Mus musculus: one gene and its partner. The protein of the gene in region 1 binds, or shares a complex with, the protein of each later gene. Links are inferred from orthologs where the notes say so. Each region holds a gene or a part of one and is shown in the gene's direction. Other genes may lie near its edges.

The links.
Region 2: the proteins of Timp1 (region 1) and Mmp10 are in contact, whole or in part, in a crystal structure (PDB 3V96), measured with the Homo sapiens proteins. The link is inferred for Mus musculus from reciprocal best matches to the Homo sapiens genes TIMP1 and MMP10. Residues at the interface, in NP_003245.1 of Homo sapiens: Cys24, Thr25, Cys26, Val27, Pro28, Asn37, Leu57, Tyr58, Pro87, Met89, Glu90, Ser91, Val92, Cys93, Arg98, Thr121, Cys122, Cys155, Leu156, Ser157, Ile158, Gln173, Leu174, Gly177, Ser178, Glu179, Lys180; in NP_002416.1 of Homo sapiens: Phe170, Tyr171, Gly177, His178, Ser179, Leu180, Ala181, His182, Ala183, Tyr184, Pro185, Tyr191, Asp205, Ala206, Ser207, Gly208, Val214, His217, Glu218, His221, Phe226, His227, Thr231, Tyr236, Pro237, Leu238, Tyr239, Asn240, Phe242, Thr243.

Annotation. Positions count from the first base shown.
Region 1 is NC_000086.7:20,869,015-20,872,973, forward strand, and holds the start of Timp1 (metalloproteinase inhibitor 1 isoform a precursor), read left to right. Parts: upstream 1-1,151; 5' UTR 1,152-1,310; intron 1,311-2,016; exon of another isoform or gene 2,017-2,019; 5' UTR 2,020-2,024; coding exon 2,025-2,148; intron 2,149-3,762; coding exon 3,763-3,842; intron 3,843-3,959. UniProt on the Homo sapiens protein: Metalloproteinase inhibitor that functions by forming one to one complexes with target metalloproteinases, such as collagenases, and irreversibly inactivates them by binding to their catalytic zinc cofactor.
Region 2 is NC_000075.6:7,501,124-7,505,146, forward strand, and holds the start of Mmp10 (stromelysin-2 preproprotein), read left to right. Parts: upstream 1-1,218; 5' UTR 1,219-1,270; coding exon 1,271-1,375; intron 1,376-2,022; coding exon 2,023-2,267; intron 2,268-2,357; coding exon 2,358-2,506; intron 2,507-2,937; coding exon 2,938-3,063; intron 3,064-3,708; coding exon 3,709-3,873; intron 3,874-4,023. UniProt on the Homo sapiens protein: Can degrade fibronectin, gelatins of type I, III, IV, and V; weakly collagens III, IV, and V. Activates procollagenase.

The DNA of each region.
Region 1 (3,959 bases):
TAAAATTGAATTAGCTAAAGTAAATTTACATAATAACCTTAGTAATGATGTACAGTAAGCATTCAGTAAGTAGCTGTGATCACCACTACCATATTCTCTCTGTCTCTCTCTCTATCTCTGTCACAGGTTCTCACTATGTATCGCTGGCTGTCCTGGAACTCACTGTATAGACTATGTACCCTCTAATTCTCTGGATCAGCTTGCCTGCTGCGATTACAACCATTGTCATTATTATTGGTCTTTCCTCCCTATATTAATTGAAGATGCTAATCAGTCCATAGAACCCTTCCACAGGACCCCAGGGAATACTCCTGCATCATCAGGAAGCTGGTGGGCAGCAGTTGCCTCATCCCATCCCCACAAGGGGTGTGGGCTGGTTGGTGGGGGAAGGGGCAGGGCAGGATGGAGTAGGGATGGTTTTTCTACTGACTCACTAACTTCTTTTACCATCAGTCACCACCACCACCACCACCCATGCTCACCACACCATTCCCTGCTTGTCAAGATTGTGTCCTGCCTGAGTTAGGACTCCAGGGTCAGGAAGCCTAGGTTTAAATCCCTGTTTTGTCCTGTGACACTAACAAAGATCTTTACTTCAGTTATTTGCCTGTTTGGTCTTGTTTCTGTTTAAGACAGGGTCTCTTGTAGCTGATGATATCTTCAAATAGCCTCACCGGTGTGTGCAGCCACAGCAAGGTTTGGGGTACCTAGGCTCTGTCTGCAAGCAGCCTCGGTTCCCTCCCAGTTCTGCCAGACTCAACTGCTATCTTGGATAAGTCATAGACTTATCCAGTGTATCAATTTCCCCACTATGTATTTGTGCCTCTTCTCCCATGTCATGTCCCTCAACTGCTTTTCTAGTTTGTCACCCTCTGACACCCCTCACCAGAATTTCAGATCCACAGGAATGCCTTTCTTGTGAGATTGTTACATAGTAGATGAAAGGCGTGAGAAAGAAGTTATTGGCTTCAGCCACAGGAAGTTTGGGGAATATGGGAAACCTGAGAGGCACAAAGCTTTAGGCGCTCTCTCTTCTGCCCTTCAAGGCCGCCAGGAAGGACTGTGCATGACGTGGAGCTGGGGGAAGGGGGCGCAGTGGGCTGGCTGGCAGAGGAGGGAGTATCTTTGGGTTTATCCTGGGGCCCGCCCCTAGGCTTTGACTCCAGCGGTGGGTGGATGAGTAATGCGTCCAGGAAGCCTGGAGGCAGTGATTTCCCCGCCAACTCCGCCCTTCGCATGGACATTTATTCTCCACTGTGCAGCCCCTGCCGCCATCATCGCAGATCGGGGCTCCTAGAGACACACCAGAGGTAAGTGGGAGCCGGGTGTCCTGGCAGAACTGGGGCTTGCCTGGAGCCTGTGTTGGTGCGGCTCATGCAGCCCTTGCCAGACTAACTGCTCACGTGGCTTGCAGGTATCAGGATCCCTAGTTAGCTAAAGAGGAATATAACGGGAGAGGGCCTGGAATGATCGTCCCAAGCTGGACTCTCCAGACTCCTTCATGCCTTTGCTAAGTGCTCCAAACCCACAAGCCTTTAATACCTTGAAGACTTCCCAACTTGCCTGTCCCTCAATCCTTATGGTTCCTGGTAACTCCCCTGTTCTCTTTGCCATGTCTGGTTCATGGAACTTCAACAGTTCTTCTGCCTACAAATTCCTCAAGCATTACCATTGTCGTAAACCTCCAAATTCCCCAAGACCCTTAACCCCCATTTTCTCCAGCTCCCTAAAACCCCAAACCTGTTCTAACCCCCCAATATCTCTGAAATCCTCAGCCCATTATATTTTAATAGCCCTAATTCCTCATTATATTTCTCCAGTTTCCCAAACTCCAAATTCATCACTACACAAATGTCAGATTTTCCCAATTCTGTTAAATTCTCAACGTTCTCCGCTCCCTTATTCACCAACTGCCACAACTCCATTCTCTAACCTAAAGAGGTCCCAAATCTCCCTAGGACCAATGGCCATGTAAGCCGTTGGTCTGGGAACCTATTAACACCTACTCTTTACCAGCAGATACCATGATGGCCCCCTTTGCATCTCTGGCATCTGGCATCCTCTTGTTGCTATCACTGATAGCTTCCAGTAAGGCCTGTAGCTGTGCCCCACCCCACCCACAGACAGCCTTCTGCAACTCGGACCTGGGTGAGTCTGGCCCCCTTTCTGTCCCTCTTAATCCAATAGGGTTCATTATGGCAGTTGTCTCTAGGACAGTTCTACTTACCCTTCCATACATCTGCTTTTGCCACACTGACATCCTTGGGCCTAAGCCTACCTTTGTGCTGGCTGCTCCCAGTACTATGTACATGCTTTTCTGTAGTTATCTACATGGGTGGCTGCCTTAAAAGTCATCTTACTGAGGTGCTTGCCTACTTTTATTTAATTTTAAATTTAATGCCAGCCACATAGTACTCCTGAACCTTTGTTACATATGCTGTTAATGGCACTTCTTAGGACACAGGCAGGCAGACTTCATTCAGGACCATGACAATTAGAATTTGCCAAGAGATGGGGGTGGTGGGGGGAGATAGATTAACTCTCAACATTACATGGGCAAATGGAACTCAATGGCCAAGGAACAGTTTGGGAGTTGGTGAATGGGAAACCATTGAGAAGAAATATCAAAGGCAAGAGGATTCAGGCTAAATCCATTAAAAAGATTATTTTTATTTATGTGTATGTTTGTGTGTATTCCATGTGTGGTGTGTAGGTGCCTGTGGGTCCTCAAGGCATCAAATCCCCTGGAGCTGGAGTTATGAATGGTTGTGAGCTACCCTATGTGGATTCTGGGAACTAAACTTGGGACCTCAAAGAGCAGCAAGTGCTCTTAACCATTAAGTCATCTCTCTAGCCTATCAGCTTACTTTTTGTTTTTGAGACTAGGTCTCACTATATAACCCAGGCTGGCCTTGAACCCCTGATCCTTCCCACTCAGCCATCCAAGTGCTGAGATTGCAGGTCTGTGCCATCACACCCAGTTTAGGTCTCTTGAAAACTGGCTAGTATAATCATCTGGTGGCCCCATCACATACTGAGGAGAATCAGATAAGGGTGGGTGTTTTCACTAACCTAATTTAGGATACTTCGCTACAAGTGGATTTTAAAGAGAAACTGTACTAATGAGCTTGGAAGAAGGTTAATGAGCCTGAGTAAATTGTGGTCAAGCAAAGCATCTGTCAACCCCTTCCCTATTCTAATTTTCTAACCCACTTAATAGCCTGTAACAATCCACATACCTTTTTTTCTTTTTCCCCTTGGTACCGGGGATTGAACCTAGGATCCAGGCAAATACTGCACAATTGAGCTACAAACCCAACCCTTTTTTTGGTGAATTTTTTATTTTAAACAGGTTCTCACTAAATTGTCTAGACTAGTCTTGAACTCAGAGTAAAGTGATCCTCCATCAGGCTCTGACAGAGCTAGGGTTACAGGCCTGTGCCACCATGCCTGGCTACTTAATGTTAGTCTGTCTCCTCCTGGCTTGAATGTGAGCTCCATAAGGAAATGGATTCCTGTATTTGGGTCACTGTCCCTAACACCCTGAACAGTGGCTGGCACCAGGCACTCCAAAATATTTGTTGAGTAAGCCAATAAATGGATATATGAAAAGGGCTTAAAACAGTGCCTAAAAGAATAGACAATATGTAGATGAATCAACTGATGTGGAAGCCATTTGAATTATGCTGTATATATGCTTTGCTGCTATGGGTTCATGCTGCTTGCCCATTTGATTCCCCATTTCCCCTTCCTTTCCTCTAGTCATAAGGGCTAAATTCATGGGTTCCCCAGAAATCAACGAGACCACCTTATACCAGCGTTATAAGATCAAGATGACTAAGGTATTTTCCCTTCCCTCCCTCCCTCCATGGCTGTACCTAACCTATTCCTTCTCCTCAAAATAGAAGCATCTAACCTTTCGTTGGTGTGGATGTTTTCTGTAAACTTGTGATTTAGAT
Region 2 (4,023 bases), on another chromosome or scaffold:
ATTCGGTACATTTAATAAATAATAACTTACTTAAAAATAAACAGGACTCCATTACCCCCAAGTTATTAATCTCCTTCAGGTGTGGTGGCCTAAAGTAGAGTTCTTTTATCCACCAAAATCACTCCTGCAAGGCACACCCTTTCATGGTTAGTCAACCACAGTCAAAATCATAACTCTGATCAACAAGAACCATCAGCAGGATGTGCCACCAACAACAAAGGAATGATTCAAATGAATATGAGGCATCTCAGAATGAGTCGACTCAGCACCTCAGGCAGTTAGCAATCTGTCCTGCTAACAAGCCCTATCAGCTAATAACCCAGGAATAAAGTAAAAAGGCACTTGCTGCCCGCATGAAGTACACATAAAACCAAGACCTTGTTTGTTTTCCATAGGGAAAGCAATCACGGGATAAAATTACATACTTGCTCAAGTCTAGCTGATGGTTCAGTCTGTCAGCCTCTTTGCCTCTCTGAATTTTAGGTTGGCATATTCTCTGTGTAGTGCCTACACTAAGCCACAAGCTGACTTGGCTGGCCTAGTGTACACATCCCTCATCCAAGCTGTGGCTCAAAGGCCTCAAAGCCTCCTGGTTTAGGAAGAGGAGGACAGAGGTAGGAAGAATATTTTCATTTAATAGTTAATTAACTGATTTCCATTTGACACGTCTTTATGGAGCCAGTATATGCTTATAGCAATTATTCTGAAACAGAGAGTAGGTGGGCCCCAAGCTTCTTACCTCTGTACATTTCCTCCTCCGTATTGACTGCTTTCTCAGAGTACTCTTACCCCAGGGCTGGAAATACCTCTTACCCAAGGACTCCAGCAATGGAGTTTCTGCCATTATAGCTTCCTAGACAGCAGTCCTTACATTCACTTTGCAATCTCTTTCCATTAAACTATTCACTCCTTGCCTGAATGTATGTAAGCCTAAGGCATGTTTTTAAAAATTACACTGCTTTCAAAATATCTAAACATTTTGCAAATATTAATTACCCAGACAGTCCCTTTTCCTCTTTGTAAACACAGAAGCCACATCCTTGAGATTAAGCATTCTTTCAAGTTTACTAGGTTGAGGGATTCACTGATGTAAGCTATTCTCTCTTCATCTTATGAATGTTCTTGTAGTCATTTGGATTAAAAATAGCACCCATGTGAGTCATGCTTAGTGACCTAAACACCGACTCCCTATAAAAGAGTGGCCACTAAAGGGAAGATATGGAAACCAGGTGCTAGAGAAGGATCGGTTTTTAAAGTAAAGACTGTCTGTATGGAGCCACTAGCCATCCTGGCACTGCTGAGCCTACCAATCTGCTCAGCGTATCCTCTGCATGGGGCAGTGACACAAGGCCACCCAAGCATGGATCTTGCTCAGGTAATCAGTCAGTGGTGGGGATCCGCTTCAACCAAAGTGGAGGCACAGCCTTGCCCTTTGGTCTTCCAGCAGCAGTAGTTGAGTTAGTTAGAAGTTGTGTTGGAAAATATCCAAGTGTAAGAGGTAGAAACTCCATCTTCACCGAAAAGTGAAAAGGGAAGGAAGGAATCGCAGTTACTGGGGGTAAATAACAATGACAGCAGCCGAAGTGGGGAGACTGGGAATGGATGAGCTCACTCCTGTGCTGGAATTATGCTATTTAAGATACTTTAGGAGGGAGGGCATGATAATATTTATCTCCTACAACTTCAAGAAGCAAAGAATACTCTAATTTTTCATTTGTGAAAAAAAATGAATTTATCCAACAACACTCAACATTGACAGGTTTGTGTTAATAATGGAAATAGAAAACTTAGATACATCCATTTAATGTGCTCATACATTTATGCCGACTTCCTTGCTTTGGTAGCAAATTAAATTGCAATGAAATAATAAAATGAGGGATTTTTGCAGGAAAAAAATCAAATGAAGCACTACATCTACTTGTGTTTCACTAAACTGGGAATGATTAAAATAGATCTTGAGATTTGTGTATGTGTTTACATTTCATAGCAACCTCTTTAAAACTATGCTTGTTTCTCCACTAGCAATACCTAGAAAAATACTACAACTTTAAAAAAAATGAGAAACAAATTTTCAAAAGAAAGGACAGTAGTCCTGTTGTCAAAAAAATTCAAGAAATGCAGAAGTTCCTCGGGTTGGAGATGACAGGGAAGCTGGACTCCAACACTATGGAGCTGATGCACAAGCCCAGGTGTGGTGTTCCTGATGTTGGTGGCTTCAGTACCTTCCCAGGTTCGCCAAAATGGAGGAAATCCCACATCACCTACAGGTAATGGCTCCAGAGTTTTCACACAGCGTTATAAATGTGTCAGGAGCATCACAGAAGCAAAGATTACCTTCTTTGATTTCTCTTATCCAGGATTGTGAATTATACACCAGATTTGCCAAGACAGAGTGTGGATTCTGCCATTGAGAAAGCTTTGAAGGTCTGGGAGGAGGTGACCCCACTCACTTTCTCCAGGATCTCTGAAGGAGAGGCTGACATAATGATCTCCTTTGCAGTTGGAGGTAATGCTCTCATCTGGTGTTTGAGTTATTCAGGCTACTCAAACAAAATATCTCACATTGGAAGATCTGTAAACAACACAAAGGTATCACTCAGACTTCCTGAATCTGAAAAATATAAAATAAGGGGGTGGGAAAACTCAATCTGGTGTGTTCTTAGGTAGCACCTGTGTTACCTCCTATGGCAAAAGCAGCCAAGAGGTGCCTCCAACTTCTTTCTCATAGACACTAATGGACACTAAGCATCCATGAAGACTCACACCCTTATCGTATTCTAAAGGTGATGGCTGCCTAGCATTCCCATCACACTGAAGATTACATCTAGATTTCAAGAGAAATAAACTGTCAAACCATACAGCCCCTGAGCTCTCTTACTGAAAAGGGATTGGAGGAAATTCTAATACTTACATTTCTGTACATTTGTTTACCATCAGAACACGGAGACTTTTACCCTTTTGATGGGCCAGGACAGAGTCTGGCTCATGCCTACCCACCTGGCCCTGGATTTTATGGAGATGTTCACTTCGATGATGATGAGAAATGGACACTTGCACCCTCAGGTAGGATAAGGTCAGATATGAGTTGTCCAAGAATAACATGATTGTCTAGAGCAAGTCTCAAATGGAATATTCTGCTATCTGTACTTTCTGATTCGCTGTGTAGCAACCTGAAGCCCTATTAGTAATCTACCCATTACATGGTAATGAACCATGTAAGCTGAGTCATTCTTTCTTTGCTCCAAGTACAATATGGTGAGTGCCATTCAACTTTCTTTCCACAATTCAGGATCTTGTACAGGGTTTGAGTGTAACCTCTTCAACACTGTGTACCACTGTTCACCACTGTTAACTGCTATTCACCACTGTTTACCAATCCCATAATAGAGGAGTAGTTTAATGAATGTAATTGAGTAAGACAGTGTGTGATCCCAAGGATGCCCTGTGTGTGCCAGGCATGGTGGCGCATGCCTTTAATCCCAGCACTTGGGAGGCAGAGGCAGGCGGATTTCTGAGTTCAAGGCCAGCCTGGTCTAAAAAGTGAGTTCCAGGACAGCCAGGGCTATACAGAGAAACCCTGTCTCAAAAAACAAACAAACAAAACAAAACAAAACAAAACGGATGCCCTGTGTGGTTGGCATGAGCAATGTGTGTTTGTTTGTGGAATAGTAACGGTTACACTCTGAATATTTGTGGTTTCTCAAACAGGGACCAACTTATTCCTGGTTGCAGCCCATGAACTTGGCCACTCCCTGGGTCTCTTTCATTCCGACAAGAAAGAATCTCTGATGTACCCAGTCTACAGGTTCTCCACAAGCCCAGCTAACTTCCACCTTTCTCAAGATGATATAGAGGGCATTCAATCCCTGTATGGTAAGCAAGAAGAAAAAGAGGCTTAGGGGTGGTTTTTGTTTGTTTGCTTGCTTGCTTGCTTGCTTGCTTTAGTCAGTGCTCTTTAAGAATGTGGTACAGTAAGTCTTCAGGAAAACTTTTGTTTTTATTACATTGTGTGCTCTCGTGTGC